Linked DNA regions of Notamacropus eugenii. The protein of the gene in region 1 binds, or shares a complex with, the protein of each later gene. Links are inferred from orthologs where the notes say so. Each region holds a gene or a part of one and is shown in the gene's direction. Other genes may lie near its edges.

The links.
Region 2: the proteins of CAST (region 1) and CAPNS1 are in contact, whole or in part, in a crystal structure (PDB 3BOW), measured with the Rattus norvegicus proteins. The link is inferred for Notamacropus eugenii from reciprocal best matches to the Homo sapiens genes CAST and CAPNS1. Residues at the interface, in NP_445747.2 of Rattus norvegicus: Pro652, Ile653, Asp654, Ala655, Leu656, Ser657, Asp659, Leu660, Asp661; in NP_058814.1 of Rattus norvegicus: Phe103, Leu106, Gln109, Leu110, Ile125, Lys128, Val129, Arg132, His133, Leu136, Phe166, Trp170, Lys174, Gln177, Lys181.

What each region holds. Positions count from the first base shown.
Region 1 is NC_092875.1:442,070,937-442,082,395, reverse strand, and holds the start of CAST (calpastatin), read left to right. Parts: upstream 1-6,314; 5' UTR 6,315-6,950; coding exon 6,951-7,031; intron 7,032-7,576; exon of another isoform or gene 7,577-7,729; coding exon of another isoform or gene 7,730-7,759; intron 7,760-11,459.
Region 2 is NC_092876.1:33,186,408-33,196,922, forward strand, and holds the start of CAPNS1 (calpain small subunit 1), read left to right. Parts: upstream 1-5,772; 5' UTR 5,773-5,902; intron 5,903-6,262; 5' UTR 6,263-6,273; coding exon 6,274-6,491; intron 6,492-7,265; exon of another isoform or gene 7,266-7,463; intron 7,464-10,515. Other genes in the region: TBCB (tubulin-folding cofactor B), read left to right, coding at 310-406, 666-857, 1,526-1,598, 1,766-1,886. UniProt on the Homo sapiens protein: Regulatory subunit of the calcium-regulated non-lysosomal thiol-protease which catalyzes limited proteolysis of substrates involved in cytoskeletal remodeling and signal transduction. Essential for embryonic development.

The sequences.
Region 1 (11,459 bases):
TTACTCCCAATTTTTGTGAGATACCTTAGATATAAGCTTTAGTCTAAGTCAGAGACATCAAACACACAGCCTAGGTGGCACATGCAGCCCACGACACTCACAAGTGACCTGAATCAGATTTAAATGTAGTTATCTGATTTTAATGTGTAGCTGCATCAATTTAAAAAAGAAACATAAATGTGTGTGGTTTTCCAGGTCAATTTGCAGCCTGATGGGATCACAGATTATGTATGTTTGAGTGGCTCCCAATTCTGTTTGAGTGTAACATCACTTGTCTAAGTTATAAGCCAATTTGTTCCTTGGGCTCCATGGTCAAGGTTTAAGAAGATGAAGAGTGTAAGAAAAGGATGCTTAATCTCTCTCATTAGAGGAAAGGCTTCCCCAGGAATAAGCCTTATCAAAATCACATGCCTGAGTATGTTACAGGAAATGGGTGTGGTACTTGTGGGTCCACTGTGGTTCTTTAATATTAGACACCAATCAAGCATGATTAGTAAGACTGTTTACAGCTGTTGAAAGTTCTGGGCATGGAAGAGCCACACAAATCATTCTAGGATCCTCAGGCCAAAAAGAACTTGAGAGATGATCTTCCTTTCCTTAGGCAAAAGTGTTTCTAAGCTATGCCAGGCAGGTGAAGATCTCTCTCTCTCTCTCTCTCTCTCTCTCTCTCTCTCTCCCTTTCTCTCCTCCTCTCTCCCTCCCTCCCTTTCCTCTCATTTTAAAAGGTCTCCAAGGAGACTCCCCTATATGACACATTCCTGTGTTTAACAATTTCTGCTTTTTTTATATGTATTTTTAAAATTTCTGCTGTCAGGGACTTCTTCCTCATTTCACCTCCTGCTTTCATATGGAGAAAGTTCACTTTATTTTTTTCCTAAGTGAGGGGGAAAAAATAATATAAACTCCTTAGCCTGGCTTTCAAAGTCCTCTAGAATTTAGTCTCATCTGACTTATCTAACATTATTCCTATCAATCATAATGCAAAATCACAGATGCTAAATAGATAGTAGTAAATAAGAACTGAAACCCAATAGTTTAGTTAAGGGGCTTCAGCACAGACATTCAGTCAAGGCAATACTTAAAAAACAAACAAAAAATAGTACAATGTATTTGACAAGAAGTCCCGAAGCATCTGCTTGCAGAAGCTCTGATAAAGAGGAACTCCTTACCTTTCCCAAACCCCCATTAGTTCAGATTTATGAAGAATTTAAAAGATTTATAAAGTACATTTTTCACAACAGCTTTGTGAGGTAGATAGCACTGGCATGATGGCTACCATATTTCTTTGCGGAAACGCAATGACTAGTCTCAGGTAACAGAGCTAATGAGAACTGGAGGTGGGATTTGAACCTTTCTCCTGATGCTAAATCCAGCACTCTTTCTACTATATTATGCTAGCTGTTATTGTTCTCACACTTATAAATGACTTACCTGAAAGTGTATCTTCTGTAATTAACTCTTTTTAAATAAAATATGAAATATTAGCAGCATGGAGAAATGGGAGTGGGGAGGAAAGGAGAAAAAGTAGAAAGCAATATAGAAAATGGTAAAGGGGAAAAAAAGAATAAGCCTAGTAGAAGGTATGACCTCACTGCTACATAAAGAGTCCTCATCATGTCACACCTGGACTTTTAAATAACCTTCCAGTTATTGTGGGTTGGTTCAAGTTTCAGATAAAATCCTACCTTCTGTAAGAAGCCTTTCTTACTCTTCCCTAATGGTAGGTCCTTTCCTCTAAGTTATTCTTCAAATACTTGAACACAGCTGTCATGTCTCTCTGAGCCTTATATTTTCAAGACTAAGCTTCCTTAGTTTTTCCAAATGATCTTCATACAGCATGAACTCGAAGCCCTTCACAATTCTAGTTGTCCTGCTCTGGATAATTTCCAGTTTATTAATATCTTTCCTAAAATAAAATTCTAAAGGTCTGACCATGGCAGAGTACAGCAGGACAATGGCCTTATTCCTAGAGGCTCATACTTTTCTTAGTACAATTCATTATTGAATTAGCACTTTGGGCTCATATTTGATTCATGTTAATTTTGTAAGATCACCAAAGCTTTCCAGATCTTTTTCATACAAACTGGTATATTACGATGTCCCTTATCTTGAAACTTTGAAGTCAAATGTAAGCCTTTTGTCCCAACTGAATTTCATCTTCTTAGATTCAATCCAATGCTAAGCAAGATCTTTTGGAATCCTGATCACCCAATGTGTTAGCTCTCTTTCCAAATTTGCATCCTGTGAAATCTGATTCATCCTGTCCTCTACTCTTTACAAATTTACTCTTTACAAATCCCTCTATTCATCCATTTATGTAAATCATTAATAAAAACATTAAGCATTATAAAGTCAGATTTCTGGGGAATTCCACTGAAAAGTAAGCACCTGCTAAATAAGCGCCATGTCATTAACTTAAACTATTTAGGTCTAGCTATTCAATCAGCTCTGGATCCATCTAGCCCACATATCTCAATCACTTGCACAAGAATTGCATGAGGCACTTTATCAAATGCTTGGGTATAATCTAGGTAAAATGTATCTACCACATTTCCCTTTAACTACCAGGTGAGTAGACCTGTCACTAAAGGAAATAATGTTAGTGTTGCCTAACTTATTTGTAACAAAGGCATGCCAACTCTTTGTGATTACCAATGGGAATAACCATAGCACCTTATCTCCCAGGGTTGTTGTGAAGATCAAGTGAAAAGACATTTGTGAAAAATTTAGCACACTACCCGGCACTTAGTAAACACTATTATATTTTATATAATTTCACCAGAAATTGAAGTCAAGCTCACTGGCTTTGGAGGCTTCTAGTCTCTTCCATTAAAATTAAATTCAATTAAAAAAGTAAAATTGGGACATTTGCCCTTCTTCAATCCTGTGGTACCTCTCCCACTGTCCATGATGCTTTAAATATCAATGACAACGGTTCCACAGTCATATACCACCAATATTAGAAGTACCTAAATATATATACAGTAGTTCTTCTTTGCCAAGTGACTTGAATATATCAAGAGAAGCTAGGTGATTTCCCTACCATCTCCATATTTATCTTGGGTAGTTACTCTCTACTACCTCTTGTGCTCTACCCTTTACAATCCAAAGACGATTTCTCTTGGCCAGAAAAACAAAATAAAAATGGAAGAGCTCTGCACGAAACTGTGCTGACTGGGCCCATTACACATTTATATTATCAAATCTGGAGTTTACACTTCAGCAAGGAAAACATGTAACTCTTTCCTAACTCATGTTTCCTCATCTTCATGATTGTCCTCCCCTGAGTACATTCCAATTTTACTCAGTTCTTCTAAAAGTGGCTCCCAGAGATGAATAAAGTGCTTTAGATGTGGTTTGACCAGGGCAGAATGTAGCAAGATTATCCCTTTCCTTGTTTTGGATAGTGTGTGTGTGTGTGTGTGTGTGTGTGCGCATATGTGTGCATGCACACATATACACATGTATATATATATGTATATGTATATATATAAACATACACATACATACATTGTAGATAGCCAAATTATAAGATAGGAGCATCACTAAGAGAACTTAGAAAATATCACACATGAATATATTCTAGAACATCTGCTCTATTGAGTCCTTGCTGCTCCATCATGTCCACAGACCTCACTGAGTTCCTTCTCCTTGTTATTTCTATGCATTCTTTGTAATATGCAGAATATTACAACTGGTCCCCTCAAAGCAATAAACTAGCAGTCTTCTTTATGTCTGCTTTTCTTTAATATCTGTCAGATATTACGGAGTCAGCTTTAGAGCTAGAAAGAACTTTAGAGATCATCTAAAGATCATTTCACTCATTTTACAGGTGAGGAAACTGAGGCCCCAGGAAATTAAATAACTCACCTAAGGTATACAGACATCAGTGACAGAGCAGGCCAGATTTGAACCCAATTTTAGTGTTTTTTTTCTATTGCACTATTCTGCATTTTGAGAGTATGTTGTGCAGTTCTACCTGCTCTGTCTTCTACCTTTGTGCCTCATTGTTGTTTCTTTCCCCTAAGGGACATGCCTCCTACTCCTATGTCCCCTTGCCCGTTGAATTTGGTTAGTTCATAAATGTGTATGAACTCATGCAAATACACACACACACACACACACACACACACAATTTGTCTTATATTTGTCATAAGAAGGGGAATACATTTTGTAATCCCCTTTATCATCATTTATTGGCTACTATGAAAAGGTCTTAGCCTAAAAGGCCAAGGTCTCCCATTGCATCCTGGGCCATCTTTGGTCATCCTGATGAATATCTGGTCACTGGATCCAGATGGCTCAGGAGGAGAAAGTGAGGCTGGTGACCTTGCACAAGCCTCCCTCACTCAAAACAAAGTCAAGTGCAAGTCATCATTTTTCTGATATCATGGTCCTCTTCAAAAATGAAGGATGAACACAACCTGTGAGTAGGCCGAGCTGCCTAAAACGGGGACCCAGCTATCTGGGTAACCCCTTTCCTTCCCTTCCTTTACCTTCCTTCTTGTCTCCCCTAAAGCCTTGGACCTTATGTACTCTGAAGCCCATGGATTTAACAGTGAAGGGTCCCTGCCCAACCTCCACTCAATGGCTGACTTAGAGTGCAAGTCAATAGTAACAGTTTCTCTTCAAAACAACCACCCTGAGACTCCTGCCCCTCCCAGAGTGATTTATCTATTTATTTTCTTATTTCTATTAAAGGGGCCATCCTCCTGGCTACTTTTTAAAGACACCTATTCACTGAATGGGCATTACCTCACTTTAAGTGAGTACCTGGAAAGGCCTTAGCCTAAAAGACCAAGGTCTCCCATTGCATCCTGGGCCGTCTCCAGTCATCCAGATGGCTCAGGAGGAGAAAATGAGGCTGGTGACCTTGCATAGCCCTCCATCACTCAAAACAAAGTCAAGTGCAAGTCATCATCTGTCCGATGTCATGGTCCTCTTTGAAAACAAAGGATAAACAACTAACCAAGCTCTCTCACTCTCCACAGCAGTTGTTCCAAACCTTGTCTCTCCTTAAGCCTATGAACATGATCCTTCCCACCACCCTTTCAGTCAAGGACCTCACACCTCAAACTTTGAGATTCCCCCAAGCTGACATCATTTCAGCAGAGCTGTTCCTTCTCCTATCTTCCTCGTTTCATTACTCAGGCATCTTCCTCTACTATCCTTTCCTTCACTCTGGTTTCAGATCAAGAGATGGCCCCTTAAATTTCCCAAGACAAATCCTTCCACATGTATCCTTGCTCCTTTTCCCAACTTTTCCAACGAACAGCCCCTATCATCCCCATTCTCTCCAATCTTCAATCTTTCCCAATTTACTGACTCCCTGATAACTAAATATATGTGCCTATGTTTCTCTTATCCTTAAAACCCCTTCACTTGATCTGACCATCTCCTCTAGCCATCATGCTATATGTCTTCCTCACTTCATCTCTCAGATCCTTGAAAGAGCTATCTGTAACTAGTCTCTCCCTTTCCTCTCCTCTGACTCTCTTTTAAGCCCTCTGCAACCTAGCTTCCAACCTCAATTCAAACTGCTCCTTCCAAAATTACCACTGATTTCTTACTTGCCATATCTAATGGTCTCATCTCAAGTCCATTCATCTTAACCTCTCTGCACCATTTGACAAATCTTACTTCTCAGACATTATCTTCTTGATCAGCTGTTGGTTTCCTATATCAGTTTTCACTCTTTAGATTCTGACTTTTCAGAATCAATCCCAGCAATCTTGTCCCTCCATTTCAAAGATGAGATGCACACACGACTACCTATGGCTTTTAGGGGATGCTAACTTTAAGGGTAGTGAATGAGATGCTTTTTGATGAAATATCCTGCTTTAATTTCTCACAGAGAATACTAATCCATATCTGCACGCTAGAATGAAGGATCCAAGGGATTTTCTGAATCGCTAAAATAAAAGAAGCCAGAACTCAGTTCAGTCCAACTTCAACATGAAAGCAGGCTTCACTTTTATCTTCCCTCCCACAGACCACAATATAGAAGAGGAAGGGGAAACTCTGATTTTGAAAACAAATAAATCACAAAAATCCTCAGGTTTGCCTAGCAGGTCTGAACATGAAACAGTGCCCACCTCGGGCTGGTATATCTCCAAAAGAGACTTTTCTTGCTGTTCCTGTTATTTTCACTTTCAACCCCCAAACCAGGAAGTAAGTGTTGTTTAAAACCATCGAAATAAGCCAAGCAATCAAATCAGAACCAACCAAGATTAGGTTTGAGGCTGAAGTTTAAGACCCCTTCTTAATGGACTGGAACCAGCTCCCTTTTTTCCCATCGAAAGTCATCGCAATTTGCTTAGTTCTTGATCCATCGATTTGCCCAAACTTCCCAAAGACGGAGGAGGAGGGAGGGATCCACACAGTCCGATTTGCTTTTGTGTTGTTTTAACTCTTCAATCAGAGTTCCAACCCGTCATCAGAGTCCAAATGACAACTCTTTCCAGAAGGCCAAGCCAAGGTGGAATCCTAGAAAAGGTGCTAATTCTTGGAATGCCTAAGGAAGACCAGAGAATAGGAGGGCCACGCCCCGGTCCCGCTCCCTGCACAGTTACGAGATCGGTCCAGGCAAGTTGAAGAAAGAAACCCTAAGAGGCCGGCCTCCAGCCCTGCTGCCCCTCCTCTCCAAAAGTACAAAGAGCACTGGGCAGAAGAGGTTTGGGGGAGGGAGACAATTGGGTGAAGGCAGAAGAAGGGAGTGGATCAGCAGCATCGGACACCCTAGAAAGGACAGTGGCGGGGGTAGCTGCAGAAACTAGCGGGTGCAGGAAGGGGAGGGACTTGCTGGGGGTGAGGCCCCAGATTTGGCTCCAGGGCTCGATCGGAAAAGCTGCTTCACTGTTGCTTGTACTGCCCCTTTCCTCCCTTCTCTCTCTCCCCCTTCCTGCCCTCCAGTCACCGCTGCACCCTCTCTGAGATCTGCAGCTGTCACCATGTCTCAGCCGGGGAAAGGCAAGAGGCCCGCAGCCTCCCCCCGGCCCAAGCGGGCTGCCGCTGCCCGGGCAGCCGAAGGGGTAAGTGGCTTCTTAGACGTCCCACCCAGGAGGGGTGGGCAAGGTGGTAGAGAGTGGGGAGGGGGTCAACCACAGCCCTACAACCTCCGGACTCCTCCCTCGGCTTTGCCCAATCCGGCTTGCGGCCAGGACACCCTCTTGGGCAAAGGGTGGGGGTGCAGGAGGATGGGGACCGGGCGTGGCTCGAGTTGGAAGCAGATTCCTGGGACCCGACGGGACTGCGGGAGCCCGCTGGGCGTGGCGCGTGCCAGCCCAGGGAACTGAGAGGGTGGCTGGCGGAGGAAGCAGCTGAAAGTTAGCCACAGAGAAAAGGGCACCGTGGGCCAGGGGATAAAGGCGAAGTCGGCTTCCCTGGAGATGCCCAGAATGCTGTAACCGAGCCATTTCTGCCCTGTTCCATGCCTGTCACACCGCCCTTCCCCCCCCAAAATCCGAAGCTTCAGGGCGTGGCTGTCCCGGGAACAACACATCCTCCGGTCTCTCCAGTGTGGCCGAATCTGGCTGACGGGGCGGGGCCCACGGTGGACCCCGCCCAGTGCCTTGCCCTCCCACCTGGCAGCTGCTAGAAGAGCCAGGAGTGAAGTGCCAGCTGAAGCCAGGCGCAGGTGAAGACCTTAAGCCGGCGCGCCTTCACGCACACGCAGCTCCTCACTTAAGCCTGTCCTTCGCCCGGTTCAGGGGATTTAGCTGGGCTTGTCATGGCTTTTGCAAGCTGGTGGTACAAGACGGTAAATATGACATGGGGCTTTTGTCTTGGAGGGACAGGAAAGACGGGTGTGTTCACTTTGCTCTCCCAGACCTGTAGGGGAGACATTGACTATTTGGTGATCAGGAAGGGGTGGGGAGAGGATGCCACTGCTTCTCGGGACCTAAGGTTAAGCTTCAGAAAAGACTCACCCACTTGTGGTATTTGTGTGTGTGTATGTGTGTACATCTGGCTTGTGTGGCTGCTGCCTGCCCTCCAGACAGTCTGAATGAACCAGGCTGTAGAAGTGGAAGAATTCCCCCCTACAAACCTGGGAATTCCTGGTTTGAGAGAAGGTGGAGATTCACCTGATCTCAGATACAGGACAATGAAAACAAAACAAAACAAAAAAAACCAACTCTAGGTACTTTTGATTTAAGCGAAGGCGGGCATCCAGAAATCCAGGACCACCTCTTTTTATTTTATTTTACTTTTTAAGCCAGTAAATCAGGAGACCTCCAGGCAGTAGCACAAAATGTGAAATGGTTTGTGTGCAGGAAGGGATTGAAGGTGTTCCATTTCTTTAGTACTTCGTGAATATCTTTCCAGCTAATGAGCAAAATAATCAAGTTGATGCTTGCAAAGTTGTGGAACCAGGAACTGTGATTTAATACCGTATTGTGGGTTTTTTAAAATGTTGGCGCAAATGGGTTAGCTTGATTCAAGTTTTGTTGACAGCTTTGCTTCATGATAGACAGTTCAAAAAACTGGTTATGTGTGTACCTTATGGTTTTTCATGGTGAATACTTCCTATTCCATGTTTGCCAGTATAATATCCTCTTAAATATACTCAGTAGAAATTTGCTTTGGATAAAACTTCTCAATTCTTTTTCTAAGGCTCCGTTTAAAATGTTGAATAAATGATGTATAGCTAAGCATACCATAATTTAGACATGATAAAGCCAAAGTTAATATCATACTTTGCTTTTTGCTGAGTTATGATTTCCCAGGTAAATTATGCTGGAGTAATAAAATGAAACTGACTTAAATTTCTCAAATCTTTTTATTTTTTTTTTTAAGTTTAGTACTCCATCTAATCTCTTTGTAAAACCTATTATTGTATTCAATTTGGGGACTGTTCTGTATATTTTACCCTACTTGGAATATCTCTGAATTAGCTGTAGTAGCTAGAGTACTCTGCTGAAAAACCATTTGTTTCTTCCCCCTTGACACTTATTAGAGATTATTTCAAACACTTTTAGGTGAGTCCTTTCGTAGGAGAACATTGTTTAATAAAGTTCGGGGAAAAAATGTGAGTAGCCCAACTTTACATATCAGAATAAGTAAGATAAACTCATAGAATATGTAATCTAAGGAGTGTTTGTGTGTAGGAAGTGCTAGCTAGAAGAAATCAAGTGAAATTGTTTAAGATAAAATATTGGATCTCAAATTTCTACTAACTATAATGGCTAATATCAACAAAATTAGCAGTATATCAACCTTATATTTTGAAAAACTCTAATTTGGGGGATAGGGGACTGTTGGAAATGCTAACATTAAATTATATTTTCTTTGTAGTGATAATGCATAGACTAGTTTAAATTTAGTTTGTACCTATAATCATCCTCCAAAGTCATGAATTGCATTGATTATAGCAAGTTAATTAGAGGTGTTTAATGGACCTAATTAGATGCATGGGCTCCAGTGACAGCATTATCAGCACATAGTCATTTGGAACTGGACAGCCAGGCTGGTAGGAGTGTTGCAAGCACTCTGTGACTGCACAGTCTGGCTTCAGTAAACCTGAAGGATTAAGAAATTTAAAATTACAGTCTTCAGATATTTAGGGTAAACAAATGGAGCACATAGGCTTTGAGGTGAATGCCAAAGAGAAGGAAATGTCAGAACACAAGTTTCCCATTTTAGTTGCTAACTGAGGAATAATACAGGGACAACCCTGTTCACAGATGAGGTTTTTTTTTTTTTAATTGGCAAGTTATATCCTTATTATATTATTAATTTTAATTAAGTTGCACATATCCTCCAACAACAATTTTCATATACAAGTTCTTTTTAAAGGGGCAATGTAGTTCTTGAAGGTTTAGAGAAAGTGGGTGGCCATGGACTAAGCATTGCATACATCTTTATGTTTGTCCAAAGACAAGCTGATTTTCAACTCAAAGGAAGACAACTCGTACCAAATATAACTAGAGACTTTACATCTCTTCTTCATTGTTGTCGTTTAAGGCAGTCTAAGACTATTAAAATTCAACAGATGTGACTTTCAAGTTCATTTTCTACATGGATTTTGTAGATTTCTTAATGATAACTTACCATGAATGCTTCACACCTATTAAAATAATGAAAGAAAGAAGTGCCTTCTAATTTAAAAATCTGATCAACCTTCTTTATTTTTTTTATTGCTTCCTCAAGCATGTATAAATCATTAACATTGAGGGAGTGTGAAAAGTTTTCTAAAATTCTATGGGAACTCTTTTTTTCTTATCCATTAGAGCTTCATTCAGCTAATTAGTAAATAAAAATAAGGCAAAGTAAAGGACTATCGAAGTGAACGTTCATCATCAATATTAAGAAGCATTTATCAGACATCTGCTGTGTGCATGATGCTGTCCTAGGTGCTAGAGGCACACAAAATGTAACAACAGTCCCAACCCCATCATAATGGTAGAAAACCTAGCTGCAAACCCCTTCTCCCTATATTGACCTCCCCTTAATTTTTTTGTATTTCAGTTCTTTTGAGATTCCACATGATTTAATAGAAATTTAAACCCAAGCCTGGGTGTGACCATAGACTCCACTCATGAGTTGTTCAGTGCTGTCTTTTAAAAAAAAATAGAAAAATGTGATACAAGCTCCATTCAGGATCACATGGAATCCCAAAACAGAACTACTGATTTTAGCAAGAATTTCCCTTTGAATTCAATGACCCTGACTTCAGTAACTTCAAAACAAGGAAATAAACAGTCAGAGATTAAATGACCAAGATTATTCAACTAGTAGGTACCAAAACTAGGTCTTGAATTCAAATCCTTTTACCTCAAACCCAATACACTTTCTTGTAATCCATATCTTGACCAATAAATAAGAGGGATCATTAATATGACATATCTCACAGATGGTCTTGCAAGTCCTTAATAGGGCTAGGCTAGGGAAATAGGCAATCATCTTATAGTGTATGATTTGAGGGTCATCAAGAAGTTCCTCTGCATCCAAAAATTGCTTCCTACTATATCACAGTGCTTAAAATTCCACCATTAGAATAACAGAATTTAAGATTCTGTTATTATTAAAACTTTACAGATGAGGAAACTGAGGCCAAGAGAAGCAAAATGACTAGCCCTATGTTAAACAAGAAGTTAGTGTCATCATAAAGGGCTAAAAGGCAATCAAAAGCTATGATTTTTTCAAAGAATTGTACAGCTTAATGTAGAGGTATTGGTTCATATATTGAATAATTAATATTTCTCTTATTTCATTCAAACATTTCAAGAAATTCTTATTATCCATACTGCTTGGTTTATAAGTATTTTACCCTTGTTTTGTAGATGGAGAGACCTAAATCGATTATGTGTTTACTGTGATGACATAGAGTCTTCATAGTCTTGGGAATTATGCTGTTATTATTGCTTTAATACCTCTTTAATCTTACTGCCTTGTGCTTTAGCTTTCTCCTTGGGATTTCTCCACTGTTCCCTGTATCAGAGCTTACTCTGATGCCTAGA
Region 2 (10,515 bases), on another chromosome or scaffold:
AGGCCCCACTTTCCACCAGCTCATTCCCCTTAAGATCCTAGGCTGATGGAGCTGGGAGGGACCTGTCAGTGCAGCCCAGTCCCTCATTTTCTATGTAGGAAATGAAGGAGGGGGCAATTTGCCTGGAGGTGCACATGTAGTTAGGGATAGGCCTGGGCCCTAAAGCAGATCTGCCTCTGAGGCTGGGAACTTCTCTGTGTTTATGCCTGCCCTGCTGACCCCCCTCACATTTGTGATTTGAAATCTCTTCTGGGCTTCATCCCCTGATGTTGCTGTGAGTCCCCAGGCTCAATCTCTGTCTCCCCACAGGTCATTGACCGGAGTGGGGCCCGTCTGGGTGAATATGAGGACCTGTCTCAAGTGGAGAAGTTTGAGCTCTCCCAGTCAGCCTATGAGAGCAGAGCTGGTATATGGGCATGAGGAAAGCTTGGGGAATGGGGGAGCATCTGGGTGAGTGGGAAGGCCATGAGAAATTTGGGGGATGAGATTAGAAAGTGAAGGTGTTGAGAAAGGGGCCCTGGTGTAAATGGAAAAGATAGAAAATGGGGGAGAGAAGAGACTCAGGCCTGGATCACAGAGATGGGGGGGCAAGGAAGCTGAAGGGGCCTGGGGATTGGGGGGGGTTTAAGTTTAGGGCAGTGACCCCCTTGACCCCTGGCCTCCAGACTCCGTACGCTCCTTCCTGAAGCGCAGCAAGATGGGCAAATTCAACGAGGAGGAGCAGAAACGACGGGAGGCTGAAGCGGCCCAGCGACTTGCCGATGAGGAGGCCCAGGCCCAGGCCATCGCAGTGGGCAGCCGCTGCCAGGTGCAGGCAGCCGGCCAGCCCACCAAACGGGGCACTGTCATGTTTGTGGGTGAGTCAGTGACCCAAGGGCAGCACTGGGCGTGCAGATGGGCATTGTGGTGCAGTGGGATGAAGGTGGGGCCTGTTGGGGCAGGGGCATTTAGTGAGTGGGCAGATCACTTCCCCGAGTCTCAGATTCCTCATCTGATGAGCAAATACTCATGAAGTATCTGCCCTGTGCCAGGCAGACCCTGGGGGCACAAAGACAAGGCTCCCAAGCCTGCCCATCAGGGGCTTCCATTCTGGCTAGGAAAAAGACACATACAGTATCTAAGTGTGCCTGAACAAGGTGGTTTCAGAAGCAGCTGGGGATTAGGACAGGCCTTAGAAAGCTGAGCTCCCTAGGAACCTGGAACTGTTCATAATCGAAGAGAAAGGGGAGATGCTGCCTGGTCAGCTGCATGGACAATTTGTTCGAGTCACAGAGGTGGGTGGTGCAGGGGCTGCAGTGATAAATTGTGATTGAGAACCCCTGGAGATGAATACAGAGGGCAGGGACACAGTCTGGCATCTGTGTGATAGTTGAGAGCTTATTGAGGAGCCAGAGGAGGGGAGGGCAGGAAGTGACAGCCCCAGCTTCTCTGCAGAATGGGTCAGTCCCCCAGGCTAGAGAGACAGGAGCTGCTGTTGTGGCCCTGCCCTTAGCTGGGTCCTGAATGAGCTGCTTCTTGTGGGCAGGACTCACGGATTTCAAGCCTGGCTACTGGGTTGGCATCCGCTATGATGAACCGCTGGGGAAGCATGATGGCAGGTGAGGCGAGACACCCTGGGACTCTCTCTGTGAGTGTGTGTAGGAGAGTGTGTTTGTGTGTGTGAGTGTGGGTGTGTGTTTTTGTTAGTGGGTGTGATTGTGGGTATGAATGTGAGTGAATGTGTCCGGGTAGCCCTGTGACCTCTTTTAGTCTCTGTCATCTGCAGTGTGAACGGCAAACGCTACTTTGAGTGCCAGGACAAGTATGGTGCCTTTGTCAAGCCACACACGGTGACCGTAGGAGACTTCCCAGAGGAGGATTATGGACTGGACGATGATGAGATGTGACCCCCTGGTGGGGGTGGGGGGTTACACACTACTGGGGGGGTTGTCCCCTTGGATGCAGCCTCCCTTTCTCTTCCCCACCCTCCAGCCCGGGCCCCTCCCTCCTGTTTCGTGTCTGTGGTGTATTCTCTCTTGCCTTCCCTATTTTGAGTTGTATTTTTTATCTTATTTTCCCCTTGGCTCTTGTGAGGTTGTGAGACAAGTGAATTAAATGCCTCTGAATCCCTTGGAGGCAGCCTGGGTTCTTGAGGGCTAGGGAGAGGGCATTTCATTGCTGAAGATTGTGGGTGATCAGGGAGGGGAGCTTGGGGTAAGGGGGCCCTGAACAACTGGAGGAGCAGCAGTGAGTCTGACAGGGAGGCTGGCCTTCACTTTCCTCACATCTGGTCAGCCCCGAAGTGGCCTCTGACCTGCTGACTATCTGGGCTTTCAGAACAACTTTTTAGGGGTTTGTTTGGAAGCTATTTTGAAGAGGAGAGAGACTGGAGGCAGGTGGCTCATCTTTAGTGTGGATTTCTTGTTCTTCCATCATCTGCCTCTCCTGAAGGCCTTTCCTACAGCAGAATAAAAATGAAAACAAGTTAACCCATCAGCATCTGCAGCGTTCAACACCCATAATCCCCTAGCTGTGTAGAGAAGGGGGGGAGGTATATGCTCGCATCTCTTCTTTTGGGCCAAACTTGGTATCATTTTATACTGGGGAGATCTTAATAGAAAGCTGCTGAAATACAGCAGCTAGAGGGTGCCATAGTGCTGGGCCTGGAAGACTCTTCTCTCTGAGTTCAAATCCCACCTCAGACACTTAGCTGTGTGAGCCTGGGCAAGTCACTTCACCCTGGTTGCCTCCGTTTCTGATGAAGAGTGGGACCCAACTAAACAACAACAGTTGAGATAGAGGTAGCTCAGTTTGTAGGCAGGAAGTCTTGAGACTCAAGCCCTACCTCTTATACGTTAGGGCTTGGTGACCTTGGGCAGGTCCCATCAGGCCCTTAAAGTGACTAAAGGGTTCTAACTGCCTTACTGGGAGGTCTCCACGATGGTGAGGTGAGTGGTTTTTCTCCCCTCCCACCCCCATGTTAAAATAAAAGGTTTAAAACAGTGCAAGTGAGACCATGCTTTCCTTTTGTCATTCTTATCAGTTTGCTAAAGTTTAAAGGGAAGCCTTGGCATTATTTTGATTGGCATTTTTCTAATTCTTAGTAATTTGGAGCATTCTTTTATATCGTTAGTAATTGACAGTTCTTCTGAGAAATGTCCAGATTGCTTGCCCACATCTCTGTTGGAATTACTTTTGGCCTCTGATGTTTCTGTTAGGTTTTTACATAGTGTGGATATGAAACCCACATCAGAGATAGCAGACGCAGATTTTTTTTTTCTCCATAGTCGACTGCTTTCTCTCTTTGCATTAATTTTGTTCATGCAAAACTTTTTAATTTCAAGTAAGCAAAATTAACTCTTTTGTCATTTCCCTTATCCTTTGGTAAAGACGTTACCTCCTCCAAGTTACATAAAGCTCAAGCATGACTCCAGAACAGTTAAGGATGCTGCCGACGCACCCCTGCCCTTTGTGGAGCTGCGAGGACCACAGCTCTGCGCCCTGATGGTTAAAATATATTCCATGACTGTGCTTTTTCTTTTTTTGCTTTAAAAACCATTTGTTATGTGAGATGCTTGCAGGGAGGAGGAGGAATGCTAAAAGAAAGAGCCCACCCTTTATCCATATCTGTGCAAGGCATGTGATGAGCTTCTAGTTTTTTTAAAATTCTTTTAATCTCACCCTAATCAGTCAACTGGCATTGTTCCTCCTTCATTGCCGAAGACTACCATGTCATCAGAGAAATGATGACCTGACTTGCACTTGACTTTGTTTTGAGTGAGGGAGGGCTGTGCAGGTCACCAGCCTCACTTCTCCAGAGCCATCTGGGTCCAGTGACCGGATATTCATCAGGATGACTGGAGATGGCCCAGGATGCACTGGGAGACCTTGGCCTGACCTGTGCAGGTACTAAGTTAGGGTGAGGTAAAACTAATCAGGGCCTGTTCCCTTTAATGAGGCAAGGAAGAGGAAGACATCAGACTGGGAGGGAAACAGCAACACTTAACGTTGATAATCACTCTGAAGCCCGGAAGGTCCAGAAGAGAGCCTTTAGGCAGGGGCAGGAGCCCCATGGTGTCTGAGTTACGGAGTGCAGTAGGCTCAAGGTTCTAGGCTCAAGGTTCTGAGAAGGGTAGGGAAGGGAGGCTAGCCAGTAAGTAAAACCCAAGTCACCTGGGCATCTTTTGGCTATCCAAATTTACCTTCCTTTGGAGAAGAGAAGAAAGGGGGGAGGGGAAGGCAGACAGGAGAGGAGGGGTTGAGTTACCCAGCTAGCTGGGTCCCCATTCAGCCAGCTGGGTCTGCTCATAGGATTGTGTCTGTGCTTCGTTGCTGAAGCAGACCATGCCATCAGAGAAATGGTGATGTGACTTGCACTTATCTTTGTTCTGAGCGAGGAAGGGCTGTGCAGATCACCAGCCTCACTTCTCCAGAGCCATCATCTGTGGCATAGTGGAGATGGGATGTTCAGGAGTCGTCAAGACCTGTGTTCCAGAGCTCTCCAGCCTCTCGGTGCCTCTAGGCACTAAATTGCAAAGGGTTCGCTGGAGAACTAGTGGTGGGAATGCTTTCATCTGGGAGCTCCCTACTTCAAGGAAATGGCAGGTCTAGCTCCACTCCTTTGGGCGTTTACATTCCGGTCACATGTTCATTTTGAATTTATTGTGGAGTATGGTCTGTCATGTTGGTCTAAACCTCATTTCTGCCAGACTTCAGTTTTCCCACTAGTTTTTAAGAGAGTCTTTTCCGAGGTTACGCTTTCAGACGTCGATGGACTTCGCAGCATTGTAGATGGCTCAGGCTTTATCAGTCTCTGCTAAGAGCCAGGCTTTGTCCTGGGACGATACCGGGGAAACCCAAGGATCCTGTTTGTCAGCCTTGGCAGCGGGGCTTGGAATGTAGCAGACGCTTCACAAATGCTTGTTGCCGTTCCATTGCGAACGATCGATCCCTCCGCACAAGTCTACGTTCTGATGGGGGACAAGGGGAAAGGCATGGGTCCTGAGTGAGGCACCTCAGGGGGTGGCCGGACCTCGGGGGGCACAAGCGTCCAGAGAGGATGGACAGGGAGGTGGGGGCCGGGGGATCCAGGGCTTCGGAGGTGAAACCAGCCTTGGACGTGGCCCAGGGGCAGCGGGGAGCCCGGGGCTGTGGACCGCGGTGGTCTCACGCAATGGGACGGGCAGGACTGGAGGAGTCGTGAGGAGAGCGGGGCGAGCCCGGAGTAGGGAGGCCCCTGCTCCCATTGCCCCCTTCAGGAGGGGGCATTACCGTCATCACTGGCCTCCGACCAGGACACGGCCCCGGGGGGGGGGGTCCCCACTTCCGCGTCTCGGGCCGGTCCCGGGGACTGAGGAATGAACCAGGCCCCGACTTCCGGGGGCGGGGACAGAACGGGGACCGAGGAATCACCCACGCCCCGAGGGGGGCCGTTTCCTCTGCCCTCCTCCCTCAGCTAGACTGGGCCGGTCCAGCGGCTATGCCCTCCCCCGGCCGCACCTCCGGGGACCCAGGAGTCCCCCACCCCCTCGCGTGTTCCGCCCCGCGTGGGGCCCGAGAGCGTTTTCCGAGTCACTGGCTGGGGGGAGGCGGGGATGGGACTCTTAAAGGCGCAGGCACGCCCTCGCCCCGCGTCTCTCCGGGACCCCGCAGGGCGGGAGGGCTGGGCCCGGTTCCAGGGAGCAGCTGGTGGGCGGGGCGCCCGGGTCCCGTTATGCAGCGGGAAGGGGAGGGGCGGCACCGGACAGTCTGCGAGACGGGCTTTAGGACCACGCGGACGCCCGGGGAAGGCACATCGCCTCGGGCGGGGCCACCCCTGAGTCACCCCGGCCCCGCCCGACCGTCCTGTAGCCGGACCGAGAGGAGTCGAGCAAGGAGGGTAGGAGGCCAGACCGCGGCTGGGGAAACTGAGGCCGAGATCAGGGTGAGAGCGCCCCCCGCCCCAAGTCCGGGCTCCCCAACCCCGCTCGAGTCTCCCCCAGCCTGGCCTTGAGTCCCCCTGAACCCCGGCTTCAGTGCCCCCTCCCCTCGTGCTTCCTGACCCCCCTACTTGGGCACGAGCAAGAGACCCTAAGGATCCCCCACACCCGCGGAGCACCCTAACAACCCAGGACCCCTAGCCTTGACTCCCGGAAGCCAGCCCCGGCCTCCCCTGAATCTCAGTATCCCCAAACCGTGCCCCAGTACCCACCCTCCTCGGGACCATCAGGAGCGGGGCCCCCGACTCCCCCTGACCCCCCGCCCCATAGCTGACCGCGGCCGGCGTCCTGACTCTGGCCCCCAGGTCCCGGAGACATGTTCCTGGTTAATTCATTCCTGGGCGGGAAGGGCGGCGGCGGCGGGGGCGCAGGCAGAGCTCTCGGGGGGCTGCTCAGCGGCGGCGGCGGCGGTGCTGGAGGCATCGGCAATGTCATCGGGGGGCTACTTAGCGGAGGCGGTGGCGGCGGCGGTGGCGGCGGCGGAGGAGCTGGGGGTGCCATGGGGTTCCTAGGCGGTGTCATCAGCGCCATCAGGTGAGCGGGGGCTGGGGGAGCTCAGCCTGGGGGGCCCTGGAACACTGGGGGCCTCGGACATGGGGAGGTCCTGGGATGTGGGGAGCCCTGAGACACGGTGGGGCTGGGATATGAGGAGCCCGAGACATGAGGGGACCTGCGATACGGGGACCCTCAAACATGGGGAACCCCGGGACATGTAGTGGGGTCCACTGTTCCGTGAGAGGTCTGGAGACTGGGCCGGAGCGCGGTGGTGAATAAGCATGAGCCATCTTAGCCAGCGGCAGTAGAGTCATGGCAGGTATGTGGCAGAGGAGGGGTCGCCCCACCTGGCTCCGTATACCTTGTGAGGATCCCCGGGTTTGTGGGCTCCAGTCACAGCCCAGCTCAGCAGAGCCACGACCTCCCATTAATGAGGGGGGGGTGGGACTCCATGGTCTTAATGTTGAAAAGAACCTGACACTTATCGGTGTGTTGGGATCTCTGGAAGGGGCCTCACTAGCCCACTTCTTCATCACTCATTTTACAGTTGAGGAAACTGAGGGCTCACAGAGTCACACTGCATCAATCAGAGGGAACCCAGGATCGCGCAGTGTCGCAGGAGGTGGGGACGGGGCATGGACAGGACTCGGGGCTGGTGGACTAAATCACCCCTCCTGCGGGGAGCCTGGAAAGATACACAGCTTAGATAAAATGGGAACTCAGCTAGAGTCTGGTAGGAGCCTGAGACACCGAGGGTCAGCCCGACACATTCCAGGGGGTCTTGTGGGGTCTAAAGAGCATTCTCTCTTTGGGAAGCAGCTTGGTTCAGAGGAACAGGGTTCCCGCTCTGCCTCTGAAATTTCATTTGTGTGATTTGCGGCGTCTTGTCTCTTCTCCAGGCCTTAATTTCCTTTTCTGTAAAAGGGGCCCGGACTAGGTGATCTCCTAGGCCCATTCCAGCCACATATCTATGGTTCTGTAATTGGAGACTCCGAACTTGCATAACAGAGGGTGGGTAGGGGCTGAGCAGCTGGGGCTGGGGGCGGTCCCCAGATGGGGTCAGAGCTCAGGAGTCCAGGAGGGGGAGGGGGCAAAAAACAGTCATGGCTGGAGAATAGAGCTGGTGGAAAGGAGTCTTGAGTCAAGTCTGGGAAGGTGAGGATTTGGAGGCAGCTGGGAGCTGATGATGGTTTTTGAGCCTGGGGAGTAAATCCAGGAAGCATCTTGCCCTGTCCCCATTCGGTTTTATCCGTTTCCTTTTGGGCAGTCCCTACTGAACCGGGTCTGCCTGGGGCAGAAGACTTGGGGGGAGGACCAGGGGGTACCATCTGTACCTGAAAAGGTACTCTGTACCTTCCCAAGGCTGTAGTCCCCAGGGCAGAGCAAGTCAGAGTGGTCATTTAGGGAGGAGCCAGGGAGAAGAAGGGGGTCTTGGGGGTCAGCTGCTAGTGGGCAGTAGGGATGGAGGACAGAAATGCAGCCGGGGAGATACCGAGTCAAAAGGCAGAGAATGCTGGGTTACCCTATCTGGGTGAACACTAGTCCAAGGGAAGGGCTTTCTAAGACTGGGAAGACAGGATACTGGTGATGGAGCAAGCTCTCCCCTGGGTTTCAGAGAATCCTGGTCCTCCTCTTGGGTCTGCCCAGCCGTCTCTTTGCATCCTTTGGTCCCTGTTGCAATTTTGGATGAGGGCAGGCTTTATCTAAACCCAGCAGGAAAATGTGACTTGTTGGGGACAGGGGCTATTTCTTTCCATATTGATATGTTTTGCCCAGAATAGATGTTTAATTGAATGCCCAGATGTATGGGTAAGAGATACTTCTGTCCACAGTGGAAGTGGGTGGGTGGAGGAAGAGGAGAGACACACTGTCTGGGGATAATTTTGAGCTTTGAGCTGTAGATTAAAAGAAGGATGATAAGTAGCCCTGGCCCTAAGAGGGGGTTCAGAACCGGGAGCCATTTTAGGGGAAAGGAAAAGCTTGATTTGGGATTTATTGAGATGGAAGGAAGAAATAGAAGAAAAACATTTATTAAATGTTATCTGAGTGCCAAGCACTGTGCCAGGCCCTGCCCCCACTCAACTGTAAGTCACAGGGGGCCTTAGGTGTACTTGTAAGTCAGATGTTGGAGGTGGATCTGGACATGACCCAGGAGGACCAAGGAGGTCACGGGGGTCTGCGGGGTAAGGGAGGAGTAAGCGTGGTATCAAAGGACCAGCAGACCACCTTGGGGGATGGTTAGAGGACCTGCCTGGGAGGCAGGAGGATCCAAGTGTTCAAATACTGCCTCTGATCTTTTCTCACCAAGCTCACCTAAGGCAGGCCACAGGCCACAGGCCACGGAAGCGCTAAGACAGTCACTTATATTGGTGGAAGAGATTTTCCCCACCAGTGAGAAAGTTCCCTGTAAATGTTGAAATCATGGGCCCAGACCAAGATAAATACATAGGTAATTTTCAGGGCTTTTTTTTAGTCTGGACAGGTGACATCTTTGAAGCTGGGAACTCCCAGTATGGAAGGCCCCCTCTCCCAATGCAAAATATAATCAGTTTCATAGAGTTGTTGGGGCCACCAGGACAGTTCACACAGGGTCACACAGCCCCTAAGGCATCCTCAAGACTTGAACCTCCCAGGTCTTCCTGGCATTGTCTACACTGCCTTTATTTAACATTGTTGTTCAGTTGTTTATATCTAACTGTTTGTGATCCTGTTTGGGGTTTTCTTGGCAAAGACACTGGAGTGGTTTGCCATTTCCTTCTCCAGATCATTTTATAATTGGGGAAACTGAGGAAAATAGGGTTAAGTGGCTTGCCCAGGGTCACAGTTAGTATCTGAGGCTAGATTTGAACTCAGGTCCTCCTGATTCCAGGTCCAGCATCCCCTGGGCCACCTATCTGCCCCTTATTTTACATATATATATAAAATTATAATCAGTCCTGTCCACCAACCCAAATGTCACACTCCACAGTTCTTACAGGCTTTATCATCATTTGAGGCAGGAAGCCCAGAGAAGTTATCCAGTGAGAGAGGGTCAGAATTTATGTGTAGAATGGGTATTGGATTTTTGCCTTCTCAGTGGGTGGGAGAAGGGTAGAGGAAGAGAGAAAATTGGGAACTGAAAATAAAAATTTTAAATTTAAAAGGGTGTGGATCTGAACCCAAGTCTTCCAGCCTCTTGAGTCTTTAGGCATCCAAGCCTGGGTGACAGACTCTTGAGGTCTGTGGAGGGCAAGGTTGTGTCAGTTCTGATTCTCCCCATTGCCCAGCACGGGGCTTAGAAAATGTTTAGTCAGAAGTAGTAAAATCCCATGAAGGAATGGGCAGAGGGATTGTGGTGAGTTCAGTTTTGTGTGTGCATCTGAGGTGTGGCACTGGACTGTCAGGTGGAAATATTTTTTTGGTTGTGGGAGATACAGGACTGTGACTGGGGGGAGACAGAGAGGGAGAGAGACAGAGACAGAGAGAGAGATGAAGAGGACAGAACTTGGGGGTGAGGGATGCCCATGTTTAGGATGTGGGAGATGGCAAAGGATCCCTTAGCTATGTAGGGAGAGGGGCTTCTCTGAAGGAGACAGGAGGGAATGGTGGTGAACATAGACAGGGCACAAGGACTCTGTCTATGAAGGGATCACAACATAATAGATTGAAAATTGGAAGGAACCTGAGTCCAATTCCCTCATTTTACAGATAGAGAAACTGAGGCCCAAACTGACTAAGGAACCTGCCCAAGCTGGTATAGCTAGTATAGATCCAATTTATTTTTTAAATTTCTTTACTTAGATCTTAACTAATACAAAAATAACTCAATCTCTTGATATATAAAACAGAAAAAAAAAAGATTTTGCATGAAACAATAGATGCTTTTTTCTCAGCAAAAGCAGAAAACCTGCAACTTCCAAAGCTGTTCTGCATTTCTGTGCTTCCTGACCCTCCTGTTTTCTTATCTGCAATTTTTCAAACTGTGTCTCAGTGACCCTCTTTAACTTTGCCTTCTCAGCCCTCTTCTCTTTCCCCCTCCGGCCCACTATCATTGGGAAAGAAACAAAAAAGAAAAATGGCACTT